Styela clava: one gene and its partner. The protein of the gene in region 2 interacts with the protein of the main gene of each other region in a pairwise test. Links are inferred from orthologs where the notes say so. Each region holds a gene or a part of one and is shown on either strand. Other genes may lie near its edges. The genes, in order: anaphase-promoting complex subunit 11-like and anaphase-promoting complex subunit 2-like.

Region 1 (16,369 bases), on a different chromosome or scaffold from region 2:
CATGAAGTGCAGGTTATAGCACGGAATTGAAACTACAGGCGAAACAGGTATATCATTCAGAGTTCAGACCTCTCGACAAATCGTTTTTGCTTATAACATTGCCATTTGCCAATAAAGCTGATAGATTGACTCACTGGTACACATTGGCAGCAACTGCCAAGTTGCTTTTTATTTTACCAATAAATGCGCTATTTGTGATCTCCGAGACAGATTTTCATCAAAGATAACCCTAAGAATTTTATCTCTATCACTTCCTGAATTTCATTGCCATGGAGCAGCTATGGCTCTGGTGTATAATATATAACCCTCAATGCCACAAACGAATAGCAAGATACCGTTACCATGGCAGCAAATTGAAAACCAATGGTGGGTAAAATTTTGCTGCCGTAACCACGGCATGTCGGCTATAATGGCAGGGCTGTTCTGATGGTGACAAATATTGAGTGAGTTGGAACATTTTTCTTATGTATACAGTTTTGATGGATTTGGGGTTAGGTTTAGGTACATATACCTGCGCATGATAAACTAAAACCTGGTTCATGACTTTGTGAATATACCGGTAATAGCGCCATAACCCATGGCAAGTGCCGCCATCGATTCGTTCGTGGCAGAAGCTGCCATTTTGGACACGAAATGGGCCTATGAGTCGTTTTCTTAAATTGTTGTTGTTTATTCTTTCTAGAATTCTCCTTGTTGCTGCATTTTTGTTTTAAAAAATTTATTTTCTTTTCAACAATTGGACCAATGAACTATTTACACTATGTGGCGGTTCCACGATCGCATTTCAACGATCTAGTGGTCAGCGAAGTCGGGAGTTTTTTGATGATAAGGTTAGTTCAGGGTGGTCCAAACCCTGTCATGTTGATACATTCAACGCGGCTTACCGAACAATTTTAGCGTATATTTGTATCTAATGGAGGAACGTTTTTGAATTTTTTTAGGTATCACAACAGGGGTTGAGATCCCGAGATTCAAACCCCTTTCTAACTCTTTGTGCCCTTATTTTAGTAAAACACTCCTCTGTTTTTGAGCGTCGGCCATGTGACAGTAGTGACGAAACGCAATCCAGTTTTTTTTAGCTAGGTCCCGAAATACCAACTTAGACGGACTTGATTGATATTTGATGATTGCAGCTTGCTCACGCTGCAAGTTTTTAAATTACTCAATATAACAATTCGTTATAAAACGAGTGTCGCAAGAAAGGTGACATAAGGAAAACACGGCGGAAACGTATTTCCTTGCCCATCACACAGTGTCTAGTTCGATTTCAAGTAATATTTGTCACGAAAGAATATAATTTGGAGCGACATTAAACGCGAGATGCGCAAAATACAACGGTAATTTCCGGGAATTACCTTTAAAATAACTGAAGGCCTTATATATATATATCCTTTAAAAGAACGCCACCCATGCAACATAATAATAGTCTGATTAGAACGGTAAACTCTCATTGTTTATTAAATTTGAAGTAAGTAAACTCGCGATATTTTGATCACTTTTGGGTTTTCTCCGACATGCGGCCCGCGAGGCATTCTCAAAAGTTTTTGCGGTCCTTCATCCTAGCAACCTTGAACCACCCTGAGGTAGACTACCAAGTACCGGTAAAATTTCAAACTATAGTTGTGAATTGAATGATTTGGTATTTCGATTCACGTTGAGACTGGAGGCATGGATCTTTATTGAAACACTCCCTTAGGAATAGAGCTCAATCGATATATCTGCCCGATATTGCGTGTTTGCCGATATATGATAACGGCAGTAAACGGCCGATATATATATCGGCTATATATAACAGTTAAAAAACCTAAAAATGTTCGTAAAAGTTGTTTTATGTACTGTTCGTTGTGATTATTTTCAATGGATAATACACCTATGTGGTTTACTGTTTTTATAATTAAATCACACATGAGGGGGCACCAAAGTCTTCAGTGCTTAGGGCACCAAAGGGGCTTGATCCGCCCCTGGTTTCAACCCATCATTTTTATTCAAAACAAAAAGTTCAGCCTAGTCTATCAGATCTGTTTCTAGACTAATTTTTGATTACTGCAATTAAAATATAACTGCTACGAAGACAAAATGACTATTGTTACTTGATTTAGACTTATATTTACCAAAAACTAACAAATAGCACGCGAAAACGAGGTAATATTCACAACCATTAAAATGATTGGCCAATATTACGGCAGTAAATAAGAATGTTAAACATTCATAAATATAATTAGAGGTAGAGTATACAAAGTTGTAGTACATAAATATTAAACACTGCTTATATACGATGCTTATATTTATGGCAAATTTAATTGTTGTGCTTCGCGACCCAAATTTGGGCCGCGACCCCGTATTTGCGAATCCCTGCCGTACGGTACCTGCAGACATCATCAATTGTTAAAACTAGTTATGTGCGTTTGATGCATGTCGTCTTGCCAGTAGCAGATACCTGTACAGAGCTCAAGTGTTGCTCATCTTTGTTTTATCGTTCTTTGTTAGTTATTAGAATTTTGGGGTCTGATATAGTTCAGTACCACATATACTTCTAGTGGGCGTAGCGTCACAATTTTTTGACATGCCAATCCTAACCCCTATCTGACTACGCCATCCAAAAATAATGTCACTACGACATCACAATCACGTCATAGAGCTTGTCAAATCGTAAATATATACTACGACGTAAAATCCATTGAGGTGGTAAAATCACCCGAAATGGCATCGGCGCCGATGAGACCAGAGCCATTATATAACTAGTCTGAAAAAACCGAGTTGTTGACAGCGACATCTGGTGTTGGCGTGGGTTTTACACCCCTGTCGTCTGCTGGACAGCCGAATCAGGCAGTTTGATGCAGGTAATGTGTGATTGTTTTCAGGCCATGTTTACACATTTCAAGTTGCGCGAAGTTGGCAAGATATAGAAAACTGAAATAAAAAGGCAAACTATTATTATTAAACTCAAATATAGACTGTGTATGCAGAAAAGGTAGTCTAGAATCCTATCCTAAGCTACTGATAACTCCGGTGCTGGTAACATTCGTTTTTTAGTTACCGGTACAGAGTTAATAATGGTTCCAAGCAAGCATCGTGTCCCGGATGGTAAGAAAAGGACATTTGGAATGCCTTTAAAAGAATGGACACAAAAGTTTCATCACGTTTTTTTGGTATCCGCAATTTTACCGTATTTTATTTTGGCTATCCAAAGCAAGGACAATCTTTATTCTTTCATTTCAGAAATATGGTGTAGGCTTCTGCTGTATGTGATGTCATGAGTTTTCACTGTTTATTTTGTGTCTTATTATATTCTAGTGTTAGCCATTTATTAACTCACTTATGACTTTGACATATTAATTGCTAAGTAATTTTCTATTGCATCTAGATTGTGTTTAAATATTGCTACTCTCCTAACTTTGAAAGCAAAGTTGAGGATGGAAAAGCTAGAATTTGTGCTGATAATTAAAAGGATGAAGATATTCAAAGGGCCAATAACAAAAGTTGGATTGAATTTGGAGCATCACCCACAAAATTGTTGCCAAGAAAATCACATAAAGTACCACCCTGCCCACCAAGAAGAATTGTTCCCAAATATTCATCTATAAATTACTGTCCACCTTCATCACCTCAATCTGCAATTATTACCTACAATTCCATTAATGAAATAATTACAGCTTTTGAAAGTATCACCTTGAAAAACTGGAGAATACATTAAATCAATACATACAGAGCTTCTTTGTTTTCTTGCGCTTTCGCTAGAGTTTATTCTTCCACAATATCATCGGCAATTTCAATCCTTCTCAAAAACTTGGTTGATCTCACCCCGTGTTTGGGATCACGCCTCAAAGCTTGGTTTTGACACCAGAAAGCACCTTCTCCACCTAGACGCTTTATTCCCCATTTTAGCAATCCCCCAGCTAGGTACTCAATCACCTTTTTGTCGCCTTTGGTTATTGACGTTTGCATGAATGGCTCAGGTACTTGGGATACTTGAAAAGCTTCTTTTATAATTTTCGGTGCTGCAGTTTTGATTATGCGTTTTAGGTCCAAATGAGAGATTTCAGAATTGTTCGAGTATGGCCTTTGCAATTTTTCAATGTATTTAGCTGTCATTTTACTTCCTGATTCTTCCCTAGAAATTTCCATCATATACGCTATAACATCTGCCCATAGTGATGATTCCTGATTTAATGTGATGTTCAAATCATTCAATGCAGTCTGCAGTGTATTCTTGCAATCAACACTTCCGAAGTCGATTTCTACTACAGATATGCACCATTTTCCTTCTATCTCGTCATCAAGCTGTTAAATATATAAAATCGGGTCTAAAACAGTGCCTAAGTGCTTGAATAAAGCAAAACAAATGTGATGTATAAATACTGACCAAATTTTTAGCAAAACAAAAACGGTCTCTACTTCCATATATTAAACTACGGTACTATGAACTCTTACTATTCATTCTTTCAGGATCAAAACCTTTTTTAATAAACAATCAGTACTATATAACTCACGTCATCAAAAAATTCAAGCATTTCTTCCTCAGATAAATCTATTTTCATTCGAACTTTGAATACCGTTAACAGCGAGCAGCCTAAAATATACAGCAGACGACGCCGCGGTTATGAATTACCCACGCCAACACTAGATGACGCTGTGAACAACAGGTCAGTATACGGCCTTCAAGACTAGTATATAATGGCTCTGGTCTGCTGTATATGATTTCATGAATCATACTGTTACACCAAAGATTTAAATAAAAATGTTCACTATTCCTATGATGATCATTGCTTGCTTTGTTTTGTAAACACGATTCTCAAGATGAGAATTATGAAAATTTTCCTATGGACCTTTCCCCGAGCATCGACTTCCTTGTTTACTTCGTGACATTGGCCAATCAGCAAAATGCAAAAAGTAACGTAACAATGCCCCCTTTTCGCATCCGCTCAGACACTTTTTTCACTCAGACAGATTTTCCAGCGTGGTTATAAACATTACCTCGTTTTCGCGTTTTTGAACTCTATTCGTTAGTTTTCAGTTGTGTTTTGGAAACTTAAATATAAATCAGATAATTCAATGATCACTCTGTCTTCTTAGGAGTTTTAATTTAATTGCAGTAATAAAAATTAGTGTAGAAATAGCTGTGATAGACTAGCCTGAAATTCTTCACCGGTACCTTTAAAAAACAGATTGTTGTATGCAACGAATCATAATGATGTTTTGAAACATATACCCCATTTTACAGACGCCAACTTGCAAAAGCACTCTTAAAATAGCCCCAAAGGTCGGGGAAAGCTCCATTGATTTGACCCTCTTATGTTGGTCAGAAACGTTTTCAAAACCCATCTGCTAAAACTTCTTGATAAGTATAGGCTACTTGTAAGTATTTACATTCAGTTTTAGAGTGCAAGTTTGTGAAAATCCCAAAATGTATATAAAGTTCATGCAATTTTGAAACAGTTTCAGATTATGACAAACCTATGAATCAAAATCATCTTTCCCTATCCAGTGTGTTATTTTTATTCAATACTGTGTATGTATCACTGAGTTGCACTTATTTATTTTTCACGTTCAGACACATTCTCATCACATTGAAAATTTGTCGCTGATCCACTATGTATACATAGCCAATTTATTTATTTTTTTCTGATTATTATCGTCCAAACTCCATTGAATTTAGTTTTCAGATAAATATAAATTTCCATCAAATTATTCTGGTCGCCTTTGTTTCATTTAACGAATGCAACCGCGGACGTCGTCTTTACTGTCGAAAATTCAGTTCGTTTTAGTCATTTAGGCCTGTTGTGGTGTGAAACACTCCAATCATGGGACCCCAAATGGCTAAATAGGGTATTTCGAATGTGACGGCAGAAGCCAAAAATAGCCCAAGCTATTTCAGAACGCCCTGGTTGTCAGTAAATTCCGGGACAACCGTGGCCCGGGGCGCCAGACGTCAATTCCGGGACTGTCCCTGTCATTGCGGGGACGGCCGATAGCCCTAGTCTGAAATAATTTTAGATTTTGCCTACTTTCCCCATTTTCCGTAGGCTATGTGTGTGTGTGTGTGTGTTGACTTGCATTCACTTTACTAACCGTGTGTTGCGTCTATATTTTGTTTGTCACCGAGCGGCGTGGGTTGTTAATGTAAGTGCCTCATATTGGGTTCGATACTGACTGGGACGCCTTATCGGATTTCTGCGCTTTCGGAATATAACTACTCCTTTAAATCTTCCCCAATAACTATTTAAAACTACTAAAACTAGGCTTGTTTGCGTTACACTACTCGACCCGAATGATCGAAAATGGCGTCCATATGACGCCATAATGGGACAAGTTAGTTGCACGGTGTTGCAGGTCAGTATACGGCCTTCCAGACTAGTTATATAATGGCTCTGATGAGACGATAAAGATAAAGAACTGACTAATGTCAGCGATCTCTCTCATACTGGGATCGTTGCGACGAGAAAACGAGAGAAATAGCTGTTCGATTTCGGTTGCACCAGTTTATGGTCACTTTGGGTTGCACAGTCTTGGATGACAGTTTGTATATTTTGAAGGGCTATATTACGTCACTGTGAGGTCGCACTGACGTAATTTTTAGATGGAGTAGACAGGTGGGGGTTAGGATTGACATATGCAAAAATTGTTGAGCCAGGCCAACAAGAAGTGAATGTGGTACTAAACTATACCAGACCCAAATAGAGGCGCAGTTCTTACCACTTCATGGCGGTTTTATAGCGCTATTCTGTATTCAGTAATCAGTATTAACGGTATATTCACAAACTAATGTACCAAATTCTAATTGATCATGCGGAATTATATCTACTTAAACCCTAACCCCAAATCCATCAAGACTGTATCCATAAGAAAAACGTTCCAACTTACCCAATATTTGTCACCATAAGGGACAGCCCTGTCCTTACGGCCCACCTGCCGCGGTTACGGCAGCAAAATTTTACCTGCCATTGGTTTTAAATTTGCTGCCGCGGTAACGGCAGATCGACATTGGTTTGTGGCAGCTAAAAAGTCAGTCGCCATAGGTTTGGCCGTAGCGGCCATGGTATGGAAATACCGCCATGGTTTTGCGGCAGCTGCAGACGCCATGGAATACTTGAAACTGCACTTGCCCAAATAGTACAAGTAGGCCTACTGGTATATTATTATTATTTTATCTATAAAAAAAAAAAAATAGTACCAGTACTGGGATAAGAACACACAGATAAATATAGGGACGTTCAACCACTTAATACCTGAATGCTGTAATAATAGCATTCCCATTTTGCGTAACATTCAATATTTCGGCTTATATGAGTGTTAGTTAAGTATAAACCACCTAAAACAAGGGAACAGAATCAGGTTTCATTTAAGCCATATAATATAGATTTTCCGTGAATATACGAGCGCATTTGTTGGTTGTTTCCATGCTCAACCCCAAAAATGTTTTGGGACCGGCATATTATGCTATATTCATTTTGGGCAGTTGGCTGTTTGGGGGAGGGGATTTTTAAACCAAACTTGAGTCTGATTAGCTGATTAGGAAAAAGTTTGTCGTCCTTTTTAGAAAAAATCCAAGATGAGATCAGTAGCTTTATACCTAATTTTGTAATTTCATAACTTAAATGCATCATGAAACAATATCTTTCGAAGTCATAAGGCCTGCCTAATCTCTCTCAGTCTCTATGTATATTGTATACCTACATTTCTAACTAACTGCATCTTTCATATTAAAACTGAAAAGCAGAATATATTATTATATTTGAGATCTGTAAATATTAAACCATGTTTCGTAAAACTAATGAATGCTATAGAATGATTAAGTTCTGCACTCCAATTACAAGGAATTCAAAAAGTTGCAGAAATATATGCAACACCATGAAATATTTTTCATCAGGAGAGTCATCGAACAAAATTAAGAAGATTGAAAATGAAATTGAAGAAGATAATACCGAAGAAAGTGTATTGCAACCTGTTGCAAGAAAAAGTATTATTCAAATGGATGAAGAAGATACAGCGGTAGAGCGCAGTGTGAAACGAAAAATGGTTTCACAAAACACCATGTACCAGCAGATGTTAGCAGAGTCTGCACCTGACGATGAAGAGGCGGTTCTGGAATACTATGTACGGAAAGCACAGGAACATACAGATTTAGTTGATGATGCAGAGTATTATGATGTTGTTGAAGCGGATAAACGTCTCTTTTTCAAAATGGTTGACATGTGGATTCAAGATGCAGGTGAAACTCGTAGAGGACACAGGGAGTTTGTGCAAGTTGCCCTAAATAATCTTGATCGATTCAATGTCCAGCATGAATCCAAAGCGTATTTAAAAATACTTGAATGTTATCCTCAATCAGAACATACTGGCATGCGAAGAGACGAGTGGTTTAAATCGGTGTGGCAAGATAAAATTATAGATCATGAACTTGGTGGAAGATTATTTAGTATTATGGCAAAAAACAATGCCCTTATTAATGATGAATTTTATAATGCATGCATGAGACTTTTTGGAAAATTCAGCCGAGCTACTGTGTCTGCCAGGCAGCTTATTTTTTGGCAGCCTAGGTTGTCTGCATTTGTTCCATTTCTTATCTCCAAACTAGAATTAGAAAAATTGACTCCCATTGAAATTGCTGTAAGAGGTTTGAGACAAGTGAATCCTGGTATAGATGCTTCATATCGAAGATTTGAAGTAGACTCATCAGTTCTCAATGATAAAAAATTGACTCCGGAAGCAGAAATAGATTGCATAATAAGCGTACAAACAGATCATCAAAGAGAAATGCTGGATCACCATGATGTAACCAAGCCACTTTTTGTAGAAGGGCCTAATATGGTGTACTTTCAAAATAAAAAAATTCAATACTATATTATGAGAACTGACCCAATTGAAAACAAGACCGAAATGTCTGAACAAGAACGAGTGTTAACTGATAGGGAATGGTGGACCCAGTTTTATGGTTCAGACTTTGGAACTTCCAAAAGATTTTTCAATAAATCTACGCAAGAATTATATTCAACTGAAAGTTTCTTGCCTAGAGTAAAATTAGAAAGTAAAAGTTTTGTGGACTTGCAGCAGAATGAAATAATTCAAGTTGAAGATGACACTAAACCCTTTGAGGGTAATGTATTTGCAGTTGCTGCAACTGATCATAAGTCTATTGGTGCTCTGCGGAGTTGGGTCAAGGGTTTAGAGCCTTCCAATCCGAAGCTCTCACAATTAACTGTAATTTTTAATGAAAAAGTAAATTTTTTGTCTGAAGGTTATAAAATTGGCCCACAAAACATAAAAGATGACCACCGTGGTTGATCGATATAGTAAAGGTGCAGAAATGTATACATGATCTATGAATAATTGCGTAAAAATGCGAATAATATATTTAGAAACTTTATCAATGATTCTTTATCAACTTTATGAAACTTGGCTTTGTGCAGTTCTTCACTCCAATACATGGGCAGATTTATTCCTCAATAGTAGGAAAAGCAAAGTCACAAAAATCACTTAAAAGCATAGCTCTTTTTACATGGATCATGTTAAGTTTTTGTGTGTACCACATTCATGTCAAATTTTTGGTTGTTTTCGATAAAATTTAATATGTCTGAGTATACTTTAATTTATATCATCTACTTTTAGATATTTGTTTGTGTAGAGTTGTTTTTAACCAGCTTAAAAATGAAGTTCAAGATAGTCAAAGTGCATGCTGTTGCAAAATGGTGTTGGCAAGCATCAGATGACAATTGTGGAATATGTCGTGATCCGTTCGAATGCTTTTGTTCTGATTGTAAAGCACCGGGTGATGATTGCCCTATTGGTAAGTTATTTTTTAAGAGTTATTGGTTAAGAGAGAGCAGAGCATTGGTTAAGAGTTAAGAGAAAGCACTGAGGCTGAATTGTGTTGCTTATCAGATCATGAATATAAATAAAATTCATGATATCATTTGTTTTGCAGTATGGGGACAGTGTTCGCATTGTTTTCACATGCATTGCATACTGAAGTGGCTTCAATCACAACAAGTCAATCAACAGTGTCCAATGTGCAGACAGGATTGGGTTTTCAAAGAGTGAACTATCAACTTGAAAAGCATTGTGAAAATGTAGCAATCAACAGTGTCCAATGTGCAGACAGGATTTCAACTGGAGCAGCCCTGGAAAAATGTGGCTAAGTGTCGTTGAGAATATCTGGTGGCATCTTCTCATTATTTAGGTGTATGCTGCTATATGTAGCCTCATTAACGTTAAAAAAATGCACTATTAGCCGAGTTCTTGGCAGGTAGTTGACGAAATTGAGTTGATGATTGAGCATTAATTTGATTATGATATCAGTAACCACTTGTTATGGAGAGGACTTTTTTTCTGGTTGAATGGATGCAATTGAATTACAAATCTAAAGAGTTGGGACAAACTAGCTGCTAATTTGTAACATGGATGGGATCCTATTTGAGTTAGGAATATCGATTTCGTTTTAGTGTGAGTTCCACTGATCTGCCCAGACATTACTGCTACATCAACGGCGCTGTTTTTCATCCATTATTTATTTTTGGCTATAGTATAAAAACCAACGCAATATCACAATGCTAAGGCAACGAAGGTGAAAAGGCCACACATGATTCTACTGACAACAGTTCGGCTGAATTTCATTTTTGTGCATAATAAATAAGTAGCGTCGTCAATTTTCGTCTAAAACTGTGATGCATCTATTGCAGGTAGAACTTCCCCCTCACAGGTTCCAAATCCTACTCTGTAATTTTCTCCTTGACAAAATCCTGATAGAATAACATTGTCTCCATCTTGCAAGAATTTTCTTGATTTTCCATTTCCGAGATCAACAGTGCGAGTTCCCTTCCAGCATAATTCAAGCATGCTGCCGAAACTATCTTGCTCCAATCCACTAATTGTGCCCGATCCATACAGATCCCCTGTTTGGGTATTGCATCCACTAATGCTGTGATGAACAAGTTGCTGCTTCATTGTCCAGTACATGTATTTGAAATTAGACTTACAGACAACTGCGGGTTCGACCATGTCTTTATCTCTTATTGCCACAGACAGGTTGATGTTAAATGCATAGTTATCATCATGTTTCAAGTACGGTAGAATTTCAACATCTTTGGGATAATTTGGTATCGCAAATGGAGCAAGAGCCTCCATTGTTACCACCCATGGTGATATAGATGTTCCAAAATTCTTACCAAGAAATGGGCCGAGAGGAACATATTCCCATTTCTGAATATCTCTTGCAGACCAATCATTCATCAGTACCATTCCAAATATGTGCTTATGGGCATTTTTTATTGAAATAGGTTCACCCAACTTGTTGCCAGTTCCCACAATAAACGCAGTCTCAAGCTCAAAATCAAGAAGTTTGCAAGGGCCAAAAACAGGAGGTGCATTTTCATTAGGTTTGGTTTGTCCGACAGGGCGGCGTATTGGTGTTCCAGAAACAACAACAGATGATGCTCTACCATGATAACCCACAGGGATATGTTTCCAATTAGGCATCAATGCATTATCCCTTCCTCTAAACATTGTACCAACATTTGTGGCATGGTGAATTGATGAATAGAAGTCTGTGTAATCCCCAATAACGACTGGCATGTGCATAGTTGCATCGCTTTGGCTGAAAAAAGCTTGTGATCTGAGCTCTGCATTATCCCTCAGAACGTCATTGTCGCTTCGAAGAAGATTCTGAATGGTTGTCCTAGCCTCCTGCCATGCTTCATAACCCAATGCCATAAAGCTATTCAAATTTTTTTCAAGAAAAACATTCTGATTGTTAACGAGATTCGGGCCATCAAAGAAAGAGGATAATCTCTTCAGTGATAAAATTTTGTCCCCAATAGCAACGCCGATCTGTGGATCTTCGTTTCCGGTAGAAAATACTCCATAAGGTAAGTTTTGAATAGGAAAATGACTGTTCTCGGCTACATCGATAAACGAACTTAACCCGGCCATGGTCTAATTCACTGAACGAGACTGCAAAATTACGAGGAAATGATAGTCTATACTTACAGGCACGCCGTTTGTTGATTGAAAGTGACCTCCTGTGGGTTGTGCACTGAGTTTTTCACGCGGCGGTCATCAGCGGTTTGCTGGCCGCATGGATTTTTTCTGGAAGGTCGAAGATTTCTGAGTGACCGACTAATCCGGATTAAATATTATTTGTAAGAGATACCATGTATAATCCAAAATTGTATATTCTTTATTTCAATTTGTCTATGTTGTGTTCCCACCGGCAGCATTTTAATGTTAAACCATAACCGGTACCTCACTATGGCTGAACACTCATTGAATGTTTCTTATTATAAAAAATTATATTGTGTATGTAAACAAAGATGGTAAGATATTTTTTACTTGTCGGACAGAGGTGTTCAAATCTGCACACAACAGATTTTGTCACACAGCCCTAAATTAACTTTTTCTGGTCTATAACTAATATTGTATGGAGTTATACTTAGATCCTGGATCAAATTTAGCGTTTTATAAACTTTTACGCCCTGGGCGTACGCTAGAAGCTGTCTGCTGTTTTGAAGTTTAGCTATAGGTAAATCAGGCCTGCGGTTTTGGGAATCAAACACCCCGGATTCTTCTCCGCGACATTTGTGTCGAACAGAAAAAATAATCGTTTTTTCACGAATAGTTGGCCTACATATATACCACCGACGTCGCGTCTGTCTGTGTTTACTAAGGTGCAACTTTATGCTACAATGATTTGTATTATCAGTTGGTCTTGGCACTTAGTGGTAGCGCGTAATTTTTCTCAAAGACACCTTCTTTTATATTTCTGAGTCAGTGCGCGTGGCTTTCTTTGGGTAGAATTTCTTTCCCTCGAACTAAACTTTCCATGAAACACGAATAGCAGCCAAAATTGAAAATATGCTTTCTTGAGTACAAACAGAAAAATTCAAAATTCAGTTTAAGTAATCATTGCTTTTAGTTCGGCGATATTGAAGATTTTGTATTCTGCGTAAATGCATTTGGCGCAAAGATTGCTTTCTTCCATATTCATCCTTCATTCTCATAGAACAACCACTGTCTGAATTAGATGCATCTGATACAAAAACCCCGTCTTCGTGTTGAATATGTCCAGTTGAAAGAAAAACTTCGTCGTTTCCATGTTTAAATTCTCCTTTTATTCCCATATTTTCACTTTCCGAAACATTGATTGGTATGTGATTTTTGACCCTTTTCTTTTTTCTAAATGACTTAAATCTACTCTGTGTTGAGCTTATTTCTGCAATATCACGAGACACTTGGGTAGTTTTGGTGAATTTTCTGTTGAAATAGAATTATGGCTTTGAGCAAAATTACTTTGATGGTGCAAATACTAAAACATATAGTAGAACAAGCTTGTGGTCGTTTCTGATACTTGAAAGTTACTGTCATTGATAAGAGTATCTCACAACAGATAGGAAAAAAAATGTTTATAGGGTCCCATTCACATATATATTTTATAAAATGCAATTTGGCATAACGTTAGAATGGCGCAAAGACTTACTTAACACTAGAAGCGGACGATTTTGAACAAAAGACACTATTGCGTGTTTTGTATATTGTTTTTGATCGACAATCACGTACAATATTAGCACGCGTTTAAAAACATAAATTACAATGATGCAATATCATGAACTTTGAAAATCCTGATTTTTAACTATCAATTCATTAATTTTGATCAAATTTCTGAATGTAAATTTGCAACCAGCTAGTATTTGACAGCCAATGAGATCTGTATATATATTTCCTCTTGACAAAAATAGGTTGTATAACTATGATAACAACTTGAGGTAACTTAATATAATAGCTTTATTTTTGCTTACCTGTATAAACGCTTGCAATTTTCTCTGTAATGAGGATTGAAAAAGACGTAGAGAATGGGATTGCACAAAGGTGACAGGAGAGGACCAAACAGAGTGATAATTTCGACGGCGTATGGAACATGAACAGTATAGTAGTCTTGTGGAATAATTTGTACCAATTTTCTAACCTGCACAATATGATATGAAGTGTCAAAAATTGCTTTTATTTGGAAGTTGGATCACAATATTAAACTCACGAATTAAATATTAAGAGAAGAATATTCTGTGATAGGTGATCGAAGCATTCTTGGTATCCCACGTTGCTACTAGTAATCATAATGAACATTTTTGAAGTAACGTTACCCGTGAAAATCGATAACTTTTTTCAATTCGAAATTTCGTTCATCCAAATGTGCGTTTGCGATGTATATACTGAAGATTCCAGCCATCTCAAGAAAGGCATCATTGTTTTAAATTAATTTAGTCTCACTAAAGCAGTGGTTTTCAACCTTTTACTGACCGCGTACCACTTTACGGTTTTTTACTATGGCCGCGTACCACCGACAAAGCCACTTTTTTGGCGTGAGGAAAAAGACACAAGAAACATGCTATGGGAGTATTTTATAATGTGGCACTACATCCCTTGTGGCGTAACACGCAAAACGGACAAAAACATGCCCATATTGCCCCATTTAAGGTGGGCAATAGCGGGCGAGAGCGATCTCTAAAGAAAAGGACTGGTAGCGTGTCAGCGCTATGGACGTTTCCCCGAACATTGATCCCGGAAAAAGTTATCCCTTTATATACTTTACTATACTTATTCTGAGTGTTTTGATGTGTTGGCGCATATAAACTGGTTTACGTGTTTGAAATCATCATTTCTATTGAAATTATTCAACCATGTGCCGTTGGCAGGTACTGATATATATATAGATAAGTTTAGCCTTGTCCATCGCATCATTTGCGAGATTCATTTTCAATTACTGCAACTACATTAAAGCTCATCGGAAGACATATAATGACAATTAAGTTAATTAGTTCACAATTATTTTCTTGGACACAACTGAAAACTGACAAATATCACTCAAAACTACAAAAACGAGGCAATGTTTGCAACCATGCTTGAATATCTGTTTGGGCGACAGAATTGTCTGAGCGACTGGTTGCAGAAATTGCAATTGTTACCTGTTGCGTCATTATTGACTTATTGCTGATTGGTTACAGTTACGGAAATAAACAAGAAAATTGGAGCTTGGGAAAACATCCATAAACGCTCAGCAAATACATACAGTAAGGAAGATAAAGTGTTGCCGGCATCCAACTGAATGGTTAATTGCTGCAATAATTCAAATCAGCTCGCGTACCAGTTAATAAGCTCCCGCGTACCACTTGAAAAGCTCCCACTAGCGGCACGCGTACCACAGGTTGAGAACCACTGCACTAAAGGGTTGATTTTTTTACTTCTCAATTCAACAAAACTGACAGGCTGTTTCATTTTTAACTTACCAAAAATGGCACGTAGAGAATTGCAAACAACGTGCAGATCGCTGTCGTCATCTTCGTAATCCGACTTACGTTACGTCGTATCCCTTTCGGCCGTGACGCACGTTGTCGCCATGACATCAGGCGACTTCCCACAAAGTTAGAAAATATTGAATTGGATGACGTGGATTTTAGTCTCTGAAAATAGCATCACGTCAGAGGAAATACGCATGTTAAATATTTTTATTCCGGGATATAAGAATGAATTGATTGAAGATGTCGTATGTGATTTCAGAAATTTAATTCGGCGCAAATGTGAGCCATTGGTGAGATCGAATAATAATGAAACCTTTTTGAAAATGTGATATATATATATATTCAGGGTTTCTCGAAGTAAAATAACTGTATTTATATATGACATTGTACTATATTGATATACTGCATATAACATAGCAACAACCTACCTCTTCGTTCGTTCCAGAATTAAACGAGCGATCAAGAAATGGTTCACTAGATGCAGTCCTCTTTTCTGTGAAAATCAAATTGTCTATAAAGAGTATTTCAGTGGTCGGCAACCTTTTTTAAGTGACGGACCGGTAATGCCTGACCAAAATTTTGGCGGACCACCTTTATACAAACGAACTAAGCTAATGCAATAAATTATACGCATTAGGAAATCTATGTTGACAATATACTAAAAACGACGGCCATGCTATTTGATTCGATATCTGTATGTGTTTGCTGGCCATTAACACACGTAACGTGTTTCTTGCATCTCGCCTACTTCGATATTTCGTTTTTGTAGTTGTCAATATTGAAAACCAGGACTCACAACATTAATAAGATCTCGGTAAAGGTAACAATGCATGTAAACCTTCGACCTTAGTCTGGCCGTTGACTGAGGTTTGTTTTTCCAAAACTAATTTTTTTACCCGAAGTGCTAACTTTATGATTATCCTGATCCTGAAGTATAGAATTAGCACTGATTAGGTATGACCGGTTAGCTACGAGCCAGTAGTGAAGTAGTCACGTTTATAGCGAGAATCATTTTGTTTAAAAGATCTTGTCCGACCGATGAGAGACATTGTTATGCGGGTGTAGAGAAAACAATTGATCCAGCA
Region 2 (18,030 bases):
TCACTTACAAATATGTTGATGCCAAAGGTGTAAATTCATTTTGTAAATAATCTGCACAATCGTTTTTCAGCATTTTGCGTGTTTTGCCATTCCATTCCAGAACAATATGATCTACTGATTCCCCTTCAGAGGAATTTTCTTCTTCCATAGAAATATCTGACAAGCTTGAATCTTGCCCTGATATCCAAGTATTAACCTAAAAAAACATCCCGCAATTTCTTTTTTTTAAAAAAAGTTACTCAAAGAAACTCAGTTTGGGTGCCGAGTAGTCTCCTATTTGCGTATATAGGCAAAATAGATATTGAACAGAAAAAGATCCTATTAGAATCACCTGAGTATTCACATTAATTAAACAGAATTTGAAACTAATGCCTGTTAAAAATCATTTTAACAATTTAATTGAAAATTAGGGATTATTTTTTCTATAAATTTACAACTTTTAAAACAATTTTTTTTCAAATCAGGAATAAAAAGGAGAAGTGTGTTCCAGAAGCTTAGCTGCCTAGATTGAACATTTTTGTGTCATATATAAATTTGCAAAAAATATTATTTGCATGAGATAAAGATAGATCAAAAACCAAGGTTTCCAGCTTTTTCCATCTTCATTAAATATTAGAAGGTGTCGCTACTTGATCTGTGCATCTCCTTCACCAATAATATATAGGCAATTATGTTACTTGACAGAAAAATATGAACTTGATGATGGCAATGATTACGTAAAGACTTACTTGAAATGCATGAGAGTAAAACTCAGCAAAAACATTTTTCATCTTCGAATCAAGATCCCACAACAAACACGAGATAAAAATTTCTCTAATTTTTGCAGCACATCTGTAATTATCAGGCCATAATTCTATCAGTTTGGTGTACCTTGAAAAAAAAACTGCCTTGAAAATTGTAAAAGAAACTTGATGGCATGATACGGCTATATGATGAGAATAAGAAGAAGCAATTTTGCTTCATGATTTTTCTAAAAGACTGCTTGTATTACTGCCATTGTCATTGATATACCAAAAACATTAATTTAAATTTCTTTAAATAAAATCAGATCCAGCTATTTCCTTATTAAATTTTTCTAATCTTTATAAAGAGTCAGCCAACAACCTATATAAGTGACAGTAGTTTAACAATGAAGGACTTTCTTATTTGGAGTCTGTATATATTATTTACACATGTCTATCTTGTTAAAATAGAAAGAGACCTCCATTGCCAAAAAATAAAAAATAGTTGAAAATAGTAAAACCTGTTTGCATTACCATGCAATATTTTGATGTAATGATTTCACTGCTTCTGCAAGTCTTGTCACTCCTCCGAATAGAACTTGTTTACGAAATATGGGAACAATTCTTTCCTGAAAATATTATGTGGATATCTCCATGTTCAAGATGTATATAATAAATTGGGTAGGCGATACCAAACTGTTAATATTCTGATCCTTCTAAAATCCAAACTATATTGGTTCTTTACCTAGCAGTGACTGCTTGTGCACAGCTTTTCTTGAAGGAATACTAATATGTCCCATAAATCTGTAATGTACAGGCTTGAAGCTTGTAGTAACATCAAAGTGACATGGTTCACAATTTTCATTTTTTTTCTTGCAAAGGTGTGCAAAAAATTATGTATAACAGAGTCCTAAATTTTATGATGATAGAATTGACAGTACATATACTCTTCTATATTACACAGATTATCAATAGAGATGTACCGATATATCGGTATCGACAATATCGGCCAATTTTTTGGTATCGGTACTGTACCGATATTTCCGATATATTTAGCTTTTTAATATGATCCAGATTCCAGAATGTTTTAAAAAATAAGTTAGAATACTGATGTTGAAATTGTTTTTTTGCTAGGAGGGATCATGAACTATGAGCCATGCACGCGCCCACCCCCGCAAGTAGAAACAGGAATGGGATTCTGACCTGTTTTCAGCCAAAATAGCTCAACTAATTCGGCTATTTCTCACTGCCAAATTTTCATATTGACATTTTCAATTATACATGGCAATTATGATGAAATATATCAATCGAATAGTAGTAGATTTTCTGATGTGTAAAATACAGAATCATACGTTATATTGGCACAAACCCTGCGCACGTAACTCAATGTATTAGTTTGATAGGAAAAGTATACTAAACATTTATTTATTTTACTACATACACATGGTGGCCAAACCCAATGAGTTTTCTAATTGATTACAAGCGTCAGTGCACCATGCATCTGAATCAATTGACGCATCTGGATCACAAACATCAATTCCTTAATATGTGACATATTCATTTTTCAATCTGGAATGATGTGCACTAAAAATAGTGCTCAAAGGCTATTGTTTTAAACCATCTTCCCTGCACACTTGAGAAAATAATTACACAGTATCGGAATATCGGCTATTTTGAAATATCTGCATCATTTTTTTTAGTTGGTATCGGATCGGTATTGGCGGCAAAAGTAGCATCAGAACATCTCTAATTACATGAATTATGAATATAAGCAAAATATCAAGCATAAAATCAAAGACATAAAGCTGAAACAGTACAATACTTACTTTTAAATCTTCTCGAAAATTATCATAAAGAAGAAGTTCATAATATTCTAATAAATTATTTTCTTGTAGCAAAGATAATGTTCTTTTCATTCCAATTATATCAGACTCTTTCCAGTTTACATCTGCTTTTTCCTATGAATAGAATATTCAAAAAAATTATTTTTATGATACTGAGTTCAACCATGTGAATGTTATAATTCAATGAAAAATCATCAGATAGGTCATAGGTTCTCAAAGTGCTCCGTACGGAGCCCCAGGGCTCCGCGAGAGAAACCCAGGGGCTCCGCGAGCTATTCGATTACTTTTCAAAATACTGACTTGGCTAATTTGGTAACTGTTCAAAGAAGCAATAACAGCTTCGATAAAATTTGACAACATTATAGCCTCGAAATATGGCAAAGCGGCGGAATTAAAAAATGACATTATTTATAAGCAGGAGCGCATCCAGGATTCTTAGGAGGGAGGGGGTTCAAAATTGGAATAGGAAATTTCCGCGCAACATTCTTCGCGATTAAAAAGGATAACGAGATTTCTGTTGCGTAAAATATTCAATCCATGACCGATGCGAGCATTTAAAGTGTCTTGTCGTTATAATTTATTTGGGCTCATCGTTACTCACGTTTGATTCGAGATTACTATTAGGATTACTAAAATGAAAAAATACTATTCTAACATAACATAAAATACGTGATAAACTGCCAACTATAAACAAAACTGGAGTCGTGTTTTTGCGAGCTTGGGATTTGTCAAACTTGATTTGTTTTTTCGCACTCGAGATTATTTTTGAGCAAGATATCACGTTTAAAAAATCACAAGGTCTGGGCAAAATACGAACGATTGAAATTTATTTTATTGCATGCGGCTCCGTCGGTAGTTTCAGAATGAAAAAAGGTAGCCTACATCGCGCGCACAATTGACTTTGTTTCGATTTCGCAGTTACTACGATGAATAACCAAAGAAAACCTAACATAACACCAAAATTTGTGATTAACAATGTTTATAAAAGCGTTTTAAGGTCTGCTGAAACCAAACTTATAGTGTGATCTTCCATTTTAAGTTTTAGTTTTAATATATATTTTAGAATGCCGCTTTTCGATCAAGATATTTGAGTTGCGGATTTACCTCTTTATCAATTATTATTTTTAGCATTCCGTCGCCTATCACCATAATATTTTTTTTCACATTGAACACATAATTTCCCACGAGAACAAAAAATCAATTATTGTCGTCATTGTGGAACAATACATGTATATGCCAAAGGAAATTTTCGATTTAGGGAGAATAAACACTGGCGTAAAGATGTTTGAGGTTTAAAAACACGCCATGCTGACGAAAACAAACGGCAATTGTAACAAAATGCAATCGCGCAAGTTATTAGCGGCCCTTTATATCTTCCAAAAATGTCAAAAGGGAAAAGATTCGACCCCTAAATTATTAATATGTTTGCCAAGTGTCAAATTTACAGTTTAAATTAAGTAAAGTACTTTTAACTTATACTCAGGAATATTAATTGGAAAGTAACAATTTAACATTTATTTTGGGGCTCCGTGAATTATAGTCAACCTTTTCAAGGGCTCCGCAACACAAAAAGTTTGAGAACCCCTGAGGTAGGTGACCAAAAAATGATCTACATGAGATTGATGTAACTTTTGGCGCAGCATCAAACCTCAATTTTTTTTTGCGAAATCTAAAAATCAGAATTCTAGGTTTTACTTGTACAACATGTCGCCTCTCATGATTTACCGTATATGATCGCGTATAGGCCGTGTTTAAAACTCAAAAAAAAAGTTGCCAAACCAAGGGACCGTCTTATACACGCAAGACTCAGATTGCACCAAAAAAATCGGCTCATTCACGTATCAGAATTTGATCACGCAACGAGATGATATTATGCTGACTTGCCGGTAATTCCAAAAGCTTCAAACCATACCAAGTTCTCACGATAAAAAGTGTCGCGCACACACACTCGCTTGTGAAAGTGGATTGTCTTATCATACAGCTAATGGCTTGTACAGTCTGTGATTGGTTGTTTAACATGTGACGCTTGTGCAGGCTGTGATTGTTTGTTTTCGCTTGTGTTTCTTTTATATAACAGCAACAGTGTCGATTTACGGTCAGTTGTTTCATGGCGAAAACTTTATTATTTGGTGCACTTTCGCCGTAGAGGCAATTAACGGCGCACAAATTTTAATCACCTTTACGATATGGATATGTTATTCGTTAAAGGGCGGTGATAAGGACTCTTATCGAAATTAACCGCGTTGTGGACGATCAAAGGAAACTGTTTTATGCTGACTCAGGGACTCTCTTAAACTCCCGACAACAATCCCTTCCATTAATACAAATCATGACGCATGAAAAGCAATAAAGTAAGAGTTACGAGTAAGGATCTACGGCCGTCGCTAACAAACAGAAATGATAAACGTTAGAAATATTTGTGTTACAGCAATTTTGTTTTCTTTCTGCGCCTTTCTTAAGGCGTCTGGCATGTTAAGATTCGTAGTGATTTATAAGAATGTGTTAATACAGCGTTATTTCTTTCCTTGAAACGGACAAGGAACGAAATTAATCTTCGTTGTGGCGATCAAAGGAAATTGTTTTATGCTGATTCAGGAACTCTATTTTAAACTCCCGACACAATCACGACACATTGGAAAGCAATATAGACTTTATTAACATAAATTAACAAGTAAGACTTACGGGTAATAATCCACCTACGGCCCTCGCTAACGTGCAGAAACGATAAACGTGAGAAATGTTTGCGTTACAGTAATTTTGTTCTCTATTACGTTTTTCTTGAAGCGTCCGGCGTGTAACAATTCGAAGGACCGGCTTACGTGCGATTTTTTATAAAATCGTTGTCATTAAGGCCGTTTTTAGGGAGTCGGCCTATTCTCGATATTGGCGTAATTTCGGGAAAATACGGTATATGGTTTTCAATTTCCTCTATCTAATGATGGTATTTTGGGTCTCGTGTAGTTTCGTACCTAACGTACTTCTAGTGGGCATTGCATAACAATTTTTTGATATGTCAATCCTAACCCCCATCTGATTACGCCATCCAAAAATTAAATCGCTACGACATCACAATCCAGTCATAGAGCTTGCCAAATATACGCACGATCGACCGTAATGGCATTGGTGCCGACGATAAAGAACTGACTGACGTTATTGGTCTCTCTCCTATTGGAATCGTTGCGACAAGAAAACGAGAGAAATAACTGTTCGATTTCGGGTGCTCGTTTGCGCGTCTTGGATGGCAGTTCGTATAGTTTGAAGGGCTCTATTACGTCACTGTGACGTTGTGATGACGTAATTTTTGGATGGTGTAGTCAGGTGGGGGTTAGGATTGATACGCGAAAAAATTGTCATGCTACGCCCACTAGAAGTATGTTAGGTAAGAAACTACATGAGACCCGGTATTTTGACTAGTAGGAGTGACGCTCTGTGTCCTTGAATGTGTCATTTACCAGCAAAATTTTCCGTTTTTTAATGAAAAATTAATTACAGAATTATGCAACATTCACAAAAAGTTAATATTAGATTTAAACGTAACATAATAATTGATCAATATACGGCGCTTTTTAGTCAAGATAATTTGAAGAACATGGCAGTTTACGGTACGATATGTGTCCGAAGTTAGGCAATTAGACTGGACAATACCGGTAAGTTATCGAACAGTTTTCAGATTTAAAACCAACCGGAAATTTAAAAATGCTTATTTAACTTACATTGAAATTCAAATATCTGACGGCATTTTCGAAGATAAGATCCAAATCCATTCTGACTGTCTGACCATAGGCCTACTTTCAGCGTTTTCTTGAAGATTTGTGTTCCATTTAGGGAATTCCCCCGATGGAATTCGTTCTAGCGAAATCATCCAAGTATAGCGATAACCAAAGTAATGGATGTTTCCCAGAACATCGACTTCTCTGTTTATTGGACACGTTTAGTGGACATAACGATCGTTTTGTTGTTATGTTGTTCTTGGTGTTCTTTGACACTTTTTGGACATCTAGTGAAAATATTAAAAAACCGCTTTTCTCTTCGATCACTGGACCAATTGCTTTGAAATTTTCAGTGGTTAAAGATGAAATTTTCCTCCAGAAGGCCCTAATTGTGTGACAGGAGTCGCGAGTGACCTCGAAAGCAGCGACACCAAAAAGCTGATTCACATAGAACACCAAGCTCATCCATCTCATTAGAAAACACTATAAAATATTATCTGTCTTCTTATTTGGTCTGTAATATATTCGTTTCAGACTTTCAATTTTTTTTGCAGTGCCGGGGGGGGGGGGGGATGAAGTTGTATAAACTACTGTAGGGGAGCGATGGTACAAAAAGTTTGGGAACCACTGGACTAGGCAACGTATGGTGAGTTACTGTAAAAGTTAAAGTATTGTAAAAAAAAAATTGATACTACAGTTGTGAGTCTATTCATTTGGCATTTCGCTATCAAACAAGTTACGTTGAGCTAGTAGGACTACTGACTTCGCAAATTCAAAACTGAAGATGTTCTTACCGTAGGTCGTTCCGCTTGGTGTGTTAAAGGCCTTGTTTCCATGAATAAAAATAGAAGAGCGAAATTCTGGATGAAATTTATTAAAGGAATACTCTTCAAATCGACAACAACAATCTCAAACTACTGTAGGACAACGATTAGAAGAAAAGTACAACAACAACAATTTATTTAAAATGAACCATAGCCATATGGCCATTTCGTGTCCAACAAAAGCCAATTCTTGAGCTAGGGCGGAAAACATGTCATCAATCTTGTGGCATGCGTGACACCTTCAAGGGCAAAGTTTTCTTTTTTGCATGGGCCGCATTCAGAAAATCTCAGAAAAAGGACCGCATTGACAATTAATTAACTGTGACGTCATAGTTACTATTCTCATTCGCTATGGTAGTGTCGAATTTAATGGCGGCTGAACCGGTGATAACAAAAATATTGAATACCATTTAGCAATTCATATAGTTGAGGGTTGCCATACCGTCCGGAAAATGGGTTAAATTTTGCATCCGGGAAGAATTTAAAAAAATGCTCAAATGTCCTGAATCCGCATCTGCAATCGTACTGTGCACACTGCTTATACAGAACATTGTTATTTCGTACCGTGCGGATATTTCTTACTACGGGGTCATGAAAATAGTCATGCACTGTAGGGAATTTTGCTTTTTCAAATATGGTGACCCTGAATTATAGTTACTATAGACAGACATCAGATTGAGTAGAGTCTGCGTATTCTGTCTTCTTGTAATATTAAAACGTATATTACCGGAATGTCTATAGCTAGCTGAACTCCGTCTTAGGTCAATGTGATGCAGCCGAAATATTAACTAACAAAGAAGCGGCGGTGTGGCTCATCATGCTGAGCGTTAAGAATACGCTTTCCACCACACCTCTGATTACTCTGCGTGCGTTCGCAGGTTCGAATCCCATGCAGGGATGGCTATTTGCGAGAGGATTGGACTCGTGGACTCCTCGCCGCCGTACGGTGGTTCACGTAACCGTTGGTTACGGCTTCCTCTATCATTAAGTTCAGGCTGACGAAAACTAACTAATCCGATATATATCCGACATGGAATGGTAACCGGACAAGAGGCCGTGGTTCGCCATATGGTTAATCCGTCTTACGGGCTTTCCTCTCCCCCGGGATAAATAGGATCCTACCCCATATAATAGAAAGTTAAACGACTCTAGATCACCAATCACCTTGGCATTGACACATAAGAAACGTTGCATGAAATCTTGTCGTGAGTAAATCACCAAAAGTATATTAATGTATAGGTTGGTATGGGATTTTATAATAAGAAGAAAGAGATAAAGTCATCGAGTGTCTAGGAAAATTTGTATGCGTTTTTTTTCTTCTTATAAATATATTTTTTATACTGGTCTGATGATTCAAAATTATATGAACAACATTGTTATGTATACCTTTTTTTTTAAATTATAAATGCACAATAATTAAAATGTCATAATTTTTCGCCTGGTCATTTAGATCGATAAAAATAGCTTTCTCTTCAATAAACTGATTATTTAGTAAAAAAGGGAATTGGTTGAATAAGCGCGAATATCAAATCAGATATTCGGGTCCAATTGTAACAAATTTTTTTGTTCGCTATGTGTTATTCTAGGTTTCCGCTTTTCGTTTCTTACATATACAATAAAATTATTTATTTGTTTAGCGACTGCTTAAACTGCGACTTTGGGACTTGAGTTGTGTGGTGACTAGTTTCATTTCCGCGAGGACCTTCTTTTCAATTCGTTTCGTGTCAATTCGTTTTCATTGAATGTTGATAGGTCAGTGTATAACAAACTGGCAATTTATGTACATAAAAAGTAGGGGAGATATCAGGGGTGGGCAATTACTTTCCTGAGTGGACCAGTTACAGATAATGAACTTGGATACTGGGCCGGAGGCTCCATATGAAACTATGAATAAAAAAAAAACAGTTCATTTACAAATAACTAGCGTAACAGCTAATGTAATAACGAACAGCTAGTTTATCGAGTGGCACAATTGCTTAATAGGACTGATGTAGAGTCCTGCATTCGTCCGAACGCTTGTTTATATCAGGCTCGAATTAGCTTGTGCTAATTTCCCAGACCGCTTGTATATGTGGCTCGTTTTACACATTATATTCAAAGCGTGGGTAATTACGGCATTTATTTTGGCCGACGATTTATTATTTTTCTCGATATTTTCAACAGAAATTTTAATCTATAAAAACTATAGTCGTAATTTCAGAAGACACGAGTGAACCAGATGAAACACTTTGGCCAGCGGCCCGTAATTTGCCCACCCCTGGGTTATAGTTAGCACCACGTATTTAGATAATTTGAAGAAAAATGATGGTATATGTACAGACACTACTGCTGCTGTCACATCATGTTGAACTAAAACATGCAACCCTTCGGATATCCACGATGGTCCATCTCTCTTGAAATCTGACACAGGACGCATTGAGTGCAGCAAAAAGTCACGCAACAATCATCACAAAGTCCACCCTTAAAACAGATATTGAAAAATGTTAATAAATAGAGATCTGTAGTCGGTATAATCCAATTTTTTGTGCGTGTGAAATGAGATTTGAGAGATATATCAACTTTTAGTTCGCCATATGGAAAGACATTCTAGTTAATTGTTCCCAAATTTCATTCACTTCATTATTTACTCCAAAATGAAATTATTATAGTTTAGGGGTGTGCAACCTTTGATACAGGCGGGCCAGATATGAAATACTGGATGAAACCGCGGGCCGCGTCTTGATTTGACATAAGCTTTCTAGTAGTAACGTCATGGGCATAGATAATAAATTGTACTACTTATTGGTAGGTATAGGTTTGCAACGCAAAGTGATTACTCGCCATATTAAATTAAACCCCTGGATTAGACTATTAGAGCATTATTATATGCTGGTCATATAATGTCCCTATGTTCTAATAAATGCGGTTTAATGATAAAGGTACTAATGTATTAAATTTTGTCAGTTTCATTCATTAAGTACATCATAGGTAGGTCTTTGCAATTATATATAGTCAGGGCTGCCATAACGTTCTTATTTCTAAGATTTGTCCTTATTTTGAAGGTCTTTGTCCCAGAAAATATTTCTGTGCTTATTTCCAAGAAACGTCCTCATTTGACATGTGTCCTTATTTTTTTATTTTAGGGGTAGAAGTTTTTATACCGGGCATTTAGTTTGGTCATTTCGAATGACTGATTTGCTAGAAATAATATTAGAACCTATTGATTGCTTCGCGCATTTATGACATGAGAGCAAATTAATTTTCATTAAGCGACTGAACAAATTAATTTCTGACGTTCTGAGCGACTGTCTTTTCCCCGAGCATTTCCACACGCGTTAAATTTGAACTTTCTAGCTATTCAATAATCAGTGCTTTAGACAAAACACGACTATACCGGTAAATTATATTTTAAATTTAGTTTAGATTTGGAACATCATAAAAGATAAAATGGTAAACGTAAAAACATTGTTTATTACATTTCGTTCTTTGTTATCTTATTATTATGTTTTCCTGATGTTCTCATTTTTGGGTTCATATATCGATGGCAGCCCTGTATATAGTGCAACTTAACATCAACACAATACTATCAGGGGTAACCAATCATCGTATAATTATATATAGATCTTGCATTGTCGTGAAAGGTTGCAATGAGATACTTCTCTTGTCAAAACAAACATCTTTGCCTCACAGTAAAGGTCGTTAAGACGCACTAGCTGTACTAAATTTGCTCGTACCAGTTAAAAGACTGGTTATGGCACTCAACAATTTTATATAGTGTGCGATAGAAATCTACATGTCAGATAATTTACTGTAAGATCTAAAACAGTAGCATTTAACATTGCAAACATTTCTAAAGTCAATTGAATAACAACTTACAACAATATTGTGTCTGGCTCTGAGATACGGACGGGCAACTGTTACGAAATGGTGAGGACAACACCAACCATACGCACATGAATCTCCAAACCTTGTAGCGAGGTTACAGAAGAAGCACGGAAAACAGAAATATGCACATAGACCTTGAAATTCAAATAGTTGCAAATAATAGTTTTGTGACTATTTTTAACTAAAATGAGTATCGACGTTAGATTGTAGTAACTTTATTGTGCAAATATGATTTTGTCCAAAAATGTACGATCACGGTACTTATATCAATATCACAGTTATCCACCACTCACCCATAATATCCTCACATGAGTGAATATTCCCAAAAAACTACTCAAATAACGGAATTATTAAATAAACGTTTGCGAGACATGAAAATATAATAGTTGAAATATAAAAAATAAGTCAATCGAGAAGGATAAGTTTGCCGGAAGCCCAGAACTTATGTATAACGCATTTAAATTTTAGGAATTGAATTCAACTTACAGCTTTTGGTGTCTTCACAGCATCCACAAAGTCCTGTTGACCACTTCGATCGCTGAATTTCCTGCGACACAGGAGTTGTTACAACTATATTTTGGGAACTGTATTTTACAGGTGGATCAGTGTATGACGCATAAGGCGCAGAACCCACTTTTCCTTGTTCCATTTCGTCTATTCTCCGATCTCAATTGAAACACTCAGAATGATTAAACTATGGAAATCCTTGTTTTCGAGAATCACTTATTTGTGCCCGAATACGTCACGTTCCAGTCTACTCACTAGCATAAAGGCTATATATTTAATATACAATATATAACCACCTTCTTCTGAAGCCTTGTAATTTTTAACAATATGTCGTTATATGTCATTGCATAATAAAAAAATAATTAAATTTCCTGAAAACTATTTTATGTAAGACAAACATCATATCCCTTCAAAATTCTTTGTAGGCTTCCGAAAACAATAGGCTTTGTTTACCATCTACAACAGTGTGGAGGATCTGTATTTCAGATGAATGTACAATAAAATCTCTTTCTCTTTACAAACGAATTTGTGACTTACACCATAAAAATGTTCGAAGACTAGAAATTTATATTACAAAATTCTTCCTAGATATACTATGGGTTTTAACTAGGATGTGTTAGATTCAACTCATACCAGGTTTATTAGTCAAGGCGACGAGAAAGATTGTCATGTTAGATTTACAACTCGTTTCATAATATGGATGAAAAAGTTCACTCTTTCCCCTAGGTATTTTATTTTTACCTCTGTGAATAAAATACTACGGTAGTAGCCTAATGAACAAACACAATAGCAATCTATCAATTAGCCCATGCATGCGTTTTTCCAATACACGCAACGCATATGTTCCCAAACTTCTTCATTGTGGACCAAATTTGAATTTAGTTGACCCATAGACCGCAAATTCCGCGTTTCAGAGCTAAACGTAAATAAAAAGATCGAGACGACAATCTGGCTTTTTTTTCAATTACGCACGGTAGGACACTATTGCAAAAATTTGTAGTATTTCAAATCCTCTTTTCGATGATATTGGTAACATTTGAGCCTGTGCCTCACGTCCTTGATGCTCGATTCTATCTTGGTGAAAACCATATAAATCATGGCCAGAGTTGAAACGATTGCGACTGTTCATTTTGGTTACTGTTAATGATGGACATTCTTGCTCAAACAGATATACTGTGGGGGATAGGAGCAGAATCTAATTTTTTTGCTAACGTTCTCAATTCTCCTGAAGGGAATATAACGAAACTTCAAAATTGTTGTTTCTAATATGTATTATCATAACAGTTTCAATGAAATTAAAATATTCCAAACACGATTTTACCCCTTTGATCAAAATACTCCTACCATGGTACTCGAAGTGTTTTTTCATGCTAAGGTTTGTCATGCGGCTCGCGAGCTGATTTTATGCGGCTCTTTTCGGATTGGTCAGTCTGAGGGGAGAATACTTTGCAAACTACGATTCATCACGTTTCGATTAAACATACAGTATTATGATACATCTTGCATTCTTCTTTTATTTCGAAGGCGCACCATGTATTCTCCACTATTACATCACAATCGCATTTTTTGATGCGAGGAGAGTTTATTGCACTACAACTACTGAAAACTAAGAATGGCGGCAAATTCGTAGTTTACCATTTGAGGGAAGTAACTGAAGTGCATACAATCTGCGTTTGGGATCTGCGAATCTGTGTTTTTAGTCTAAAATAGTGAAATCAGAGCATCGATCCGCTCTGACTGGCATATGAAAAAACTGCTTCGATTGGCTTCAACAACATACAAGCTAGATTTAAAAAAGACCGTTTCGCAAGAGTCCCTGGCAATGTGGAGAGTGATAATTGCTTTTCTCCCTCCTGTGGTGGGCAGTTGAATGAGAATTTCAGAAAATTTTCTAAGAGCATTTTCAATATAGGCAAAGCCATCCTTTACAGTCAAAGAAATACACGAAAGTTAATATCATAAGCATATACAGTCAAATCAATACACAAAAGTCAATGTCAAATGCAGCCAATACGATATACATGTACAGCTATTGAAGTAGTGTACATACTCAGCCAATGTCAGTGACTTATACAGCCAACTCGATATACATATACAGCCATTAAAGGAATGTACATACAACGTCATATGAAAATATATACGACTGAATATGAAGCTATTTATGTGATGTACACTCTAAAATATCAGTCGATGAGTTATTTAGTCTCAACTCAGTATATATGGGAAATAGTGACGAACGATTTGAATTGATAAATGCCATATGTCTAATCTGCATTAAATCATAAATTGCGTTTAAATGAAATATGGAACATTGAAACCAACCACCATCGCTGCCAGCTAAAGGCTATTCAAACGTCGTTGAATGCATTTGTCGTTTAAGAGTAGCCTACTGTATATTCCTGCAACACAAATTTTCATTGAAAAAAGCAGCTATCGATTTCCAGAACACTACAAACTACAACAAAAAGACAACGAAACAAGGTATTTTTTTTACTCACTGACGGAACGTAAGTAATTTGCAGGTTTAAAGTGCAAATTTAAAGTTTGCGGTGATTATTTATATCTTCACCCGTGGAGGTCGATTTATTTATGTAGAATTTCCATCACCGTCTGACATTTTTGCAGAGCCACCGACAAAAATGACGTATCCAGGAACGCTGATAAATTACGGGATATTGGCGTGATTACATACGCCGTTGGAGCTGGCTGGTGCACGGAACGTTAACACAACATAATTAAGAGCAAATAAAACTTGTGTTACACATATGTTCTCGTTTGATACTGTCATAACAATTATTATATCGTTGAAAATTTGAATAAATAGTGTATACAGAAAGGAAAAAAGAATCTGAAATGAACATTATAATCCTATTCACCATATTATTGTCCAATATGAATTCGAAAGCTTTTCTATTACTGACTTGACACAAATCTTCTAATTTAGCTAAGTGCAAATGGTGATGCACTGGACGATAATTGCGTATTTATAGCACAAAATTTTAACGGACTAAATGCTATTGCAAACGAGTTATAAGCAGAAATCGGTAGTTTGGTTTTGGAAGGTAGATATTTAATTTATTTCTTTATTCGTTTTTTTAATTTTTGACTTGTTCTGTGCTACATTTGATACATAATAACGTTTTTTTTTAGTTTAGGATCAAGCGGAGGTGCGGGATCTGCTGGTTTTAAAAAGCAATTTGCGGCGTTGAGTTAGTCGGAGCTTACAGTAAGCTAAGGCCAGTAAAGAAAAGGTTGCGAAGGTCAACAGATATAAACCCGGTAAAAATTTAAAACTTTCATTTTGGTTATATCAACCCTGGGTACGTTTGCAAATGCGGACTTATCATTTCCCAATTTGTAGCTACACTACACACAATATGTCATGGTAAGTTATACCAAACTTGTACTGTCGTGGGAGTGTAGTTGGGAGAATGCCCGTTTTGTTTGAGTTGGCTGTGCTTTGTATGGTTGAATATAAACGATACTACAGCGTCAGCGATGCGGTATGTGCGTGAACATGATCTCTGTTGCGGTGCGTAGAATCTTCCTACATCTTTAACTAAAAATCAGGTGCGTACAATTTACATGCATTTTCAACAAAACAGAAACCGAATCACTGACATTGTTTTCTTTATTTGGCAGTTGAAATGTCGAGCAAAGTTGTGTGGAAATTGATATCCTTTCGATGCAGACATACTTAACTGTGTGACGGACCTTGTTTTGTCTGTTGGGTGATGTCATGTGATGTTGTTTCCGTGTTTGGTGTTTTGGCATTGGGGACACGGGTGCGCTGTGACGCTGTGACGCCTTTTGGGGTGTGGCATGTTGGCGTGTGCTGTGGGTTGGCAGGGTTCAGTTGTCTGAGTGTGGTTGTGTTTGGTTGGACTTTGGCTGTTTTGTGTCTGTGGTAGTGCCTCTGGTCTCCGGTGGGTGATCGGAGATGTTTGTTTGTGGTTTTGTGACTGTTGGATTGGGATTGATTAGATGTTTTGTGCTGGGCAGTGTGATCATGTTGTGGTTTGAGTGTGATGCCATTGCAGTTCCTGTAGTGTTGTATTTTCAGTTTTATCATGAAATTAGCTATCATCAGTACTGTTCGAATGTTGTGCACATATAGAATTGTTTATCGTCTTTTAAAATGCCTGTCATAAGTTAATTTTCAGCCTGTTTTGCAAATTGTAAGTAGCTAGTATTTGGTTGTATTAACCGTCTCATTGGAGGATAATTAATAAATAGAACAAAATAGTATGAATTGAAATGAATATTGAGAGGAAACTTGACATCATACCATATTGGAAGATATTCTGAACTTGTATAATAATTTCATAGACTGTCGGTACGCTACAACTGCAAAAACTATATTCTTGGATTGCGAAGTAACATGACATTTCTATTTTAGTAGAAAACATCACATTTGATGTGATATTACATAAAGCTTGTTGTCTAATAAATGAAACATAACAAAAAGATTCATAGAGTAAAATCATCATTTAGGTACGAAATCACACCGGGCGTCAAAAAAAAAAACAATACACCTAATTGCCAATAGACCTTATTCATTAAAAACCCATCCTACGCGCAAAAAGAAAAGTGATGTAAAAAAACAATTTTGACATCAGCTCTTATGGTGAATGTGATCACCAGAGCAGAAATTTGCATTTTTTTGTAATTTTTTAGATATCTTTCAATGTAGACGTGTGCAGTTTTGAGGATAGAATATTTTTTACACCCTCTGGGTACGGTACCGGTACTGGAAGCGTTTAACATTGACAATCTATAACCCATACCATTTCTATCACGTTTGTTTACTGGTTTTACGCAAATATACCTGTACAGCTAGCAATCATTTACTGAAGGTATGCTGACGTGTTATTTAAACCAGAAGTCCGCAACTACTTTTTAGCGCGACCCAAAAGAAATTTTTCTAACTTCTCGCGACCCAAGCATTTGGTAAACATGTAATTAGGTATTGATTTTGAGACTATAGTCGACACTAGCATTTTTCTTGCACAAAATTATATGAAACTTATCACATAAAATTGTGAATAATAGCGTTTATTATGACTAATGCAAATTATAAGCTTTTTGTATAATACACAACATATCAAATCGAGGTTTAATTTGGGAGACGGCAACTCGAAAATATTTTTCTATCTCTAGCCTTGATCTGTAATTGTATTTTAAATCGCTGATAGGCGGGAAAAATGTATTGGTTTTTTAATGAATTTTGGATGCTTTTCTGTAAGATACACGTGAAACCAATCTTTATACATTATTCGCTGTTATTCCGCTTATATGTATGGTTTGAGTAATGTATTTCTATCCGATGAGGGTGAGAAGATGAGTCTTTTGTCGGGCGTTGATCCACACTCCTATTAGTGCTCCGTACGGAGCCTCAGGGCTCCGCGAGCTATTCGTTCACTTAAAAACTGACTTGGTTAATTTTGTATCTGTAAAGAAGCATTAACGTCACTAATAAAATTTGCCGATGGTGGTGTCGAAATGTGGTAGTGATTCAAATATAACATTATCCATAACTGAGGGCGCAGCAGCCATGGTTTTCTAAAAGGGAGGGGGTTCAGAATAGAAAATTCCCGAGCAACACTCATCGCTCAATCATGGCCGACCCGAGAATTTAAAATGTCTTGTCATATCAATTCAATTTAATTAGTATTTCATCATTGCTCGCCTTTGAGTTGACTAATATACTACGGCAACCATAAATTACTTGTTAAACCGTCTACTAGCAATGAATGGATTGAAATCGTATTTTTGAGTTGCTCTTTCAGCACTTAGGATTATCGCAATGTTTCGTTGTTAAGGGAGAGTTTGCAGTTATGAAGCCAATTATATTTGATACCTTCATATCGAATTCGGTCTATGCATAAATGTATCAGTGATTTCTAGATGCAGTGATGGGACAAATATCGGCGGACACAGTAAAATGATCAAACTCTCATTGAAGGGTTTAGATCAGGGGTCGGCAAACTACGGCAAACACTGAAGTGTATTAACAAAACAGCTTTATTGACGAATATATTTTTTACGTGACAAAATTTGTTTTGAGAAACTAAATTATACTATAACGTAACAAGTATATAATTCACAATCACTCGTTTAATGAGCCTATAATTGATTATAATTAGAGAAATGGCAACAGAACGTAAAAAAGTTGATGCTGAGCGCAAATGGTTTAAAGACGCTGACAATATTCAAATGATCAGTCTTCGCGCACTGCTTGAAATTTCTGGGTGAAATGTGATTCATTGGCTATTCCTTTGGTTTTTAACTTTCTAAAATACGTGCGACCCGCCAAAGACTTGCAACCTTTAATTTTGGCCCATGAACGACAAAATTCTGCCGACCTCTGGTTTCGACTTTGGAGCCAGTGAAGTTATACAGTCATCCCAACTCAAATCTTCGACCCACTGCCCTATCTCCCTCCACTTTCCTATTCTCGATCCGCTGCCCTGTATCCCTCGCCTCGGCCAACCGCTCCACCTCCCAATCCTCGACCCACCGCCCTATCTCCTTCAACTTTTGTACCCTTGACCCACTG

The links.
Region 1: the proteins of anaphase-promoting complex subunit 2-like (region 2) and anaphase-promoting complex subunit 11-like interact in a two-hybrid assay, tested with the Drosophila melanogaster proteins (2 studies listed by BioGRID). The link is inferred for Styela clava from reciprocal best matches to the Drosophila melanogaster genes mr and lmgA.

The regions. Positions count from the first base shown.
Region 1 is NC_135257.1:2,781,334-2,797,702, forward strand, and holds anaphase-promoting complex subunit 11-like, read left to right. Parts: upstream 1-9,645; coding exon 9,646-9,784; intron 9,785-9,922; coding exon 9,923-10,038; 3' UTR 10,039-10,643; downstream 10,644-16,369. Other genes in the region: uncharacterized protein LOC120346275, read right to left, coding at 3,742-4,281, 4,491-4,538; evolutionarily conserved signaling intermediate in Toll pathway, mitochondrial-like, read left to right, coding at 7,756-9,282; fumarylacetoacetase-like, read right to left, coding at 10,651-11,925; uncharacterized protein LOC120346660, read right to left, coding at 12,882-13,245, 13,788-13,954, 15,273-15,446, 15,713-15,777.
Region 2 is NC_135254.1:19,224,307-19,242,336, forward strand, and holds the start of anaphase-promoting complex subunit 2-like, read right to left. Parts: upstream 6,470-18,030; 5' UTR 6,331-6,469; coding exon 6,280-6,330; intron 2,681-6,279; coding exon 2,549-2,680; intron 1,352-2,548; coding exon 1,257-1,351; intron 871-1,256; coding exon 729-870; intron 197-728; coding exon 9-196; intron 1-8. Other genes in the region: placenta-specific gene 8 protein-like, read right to left, coding at 9,450-9,560, 10,956-11,098, 11,451-11,613.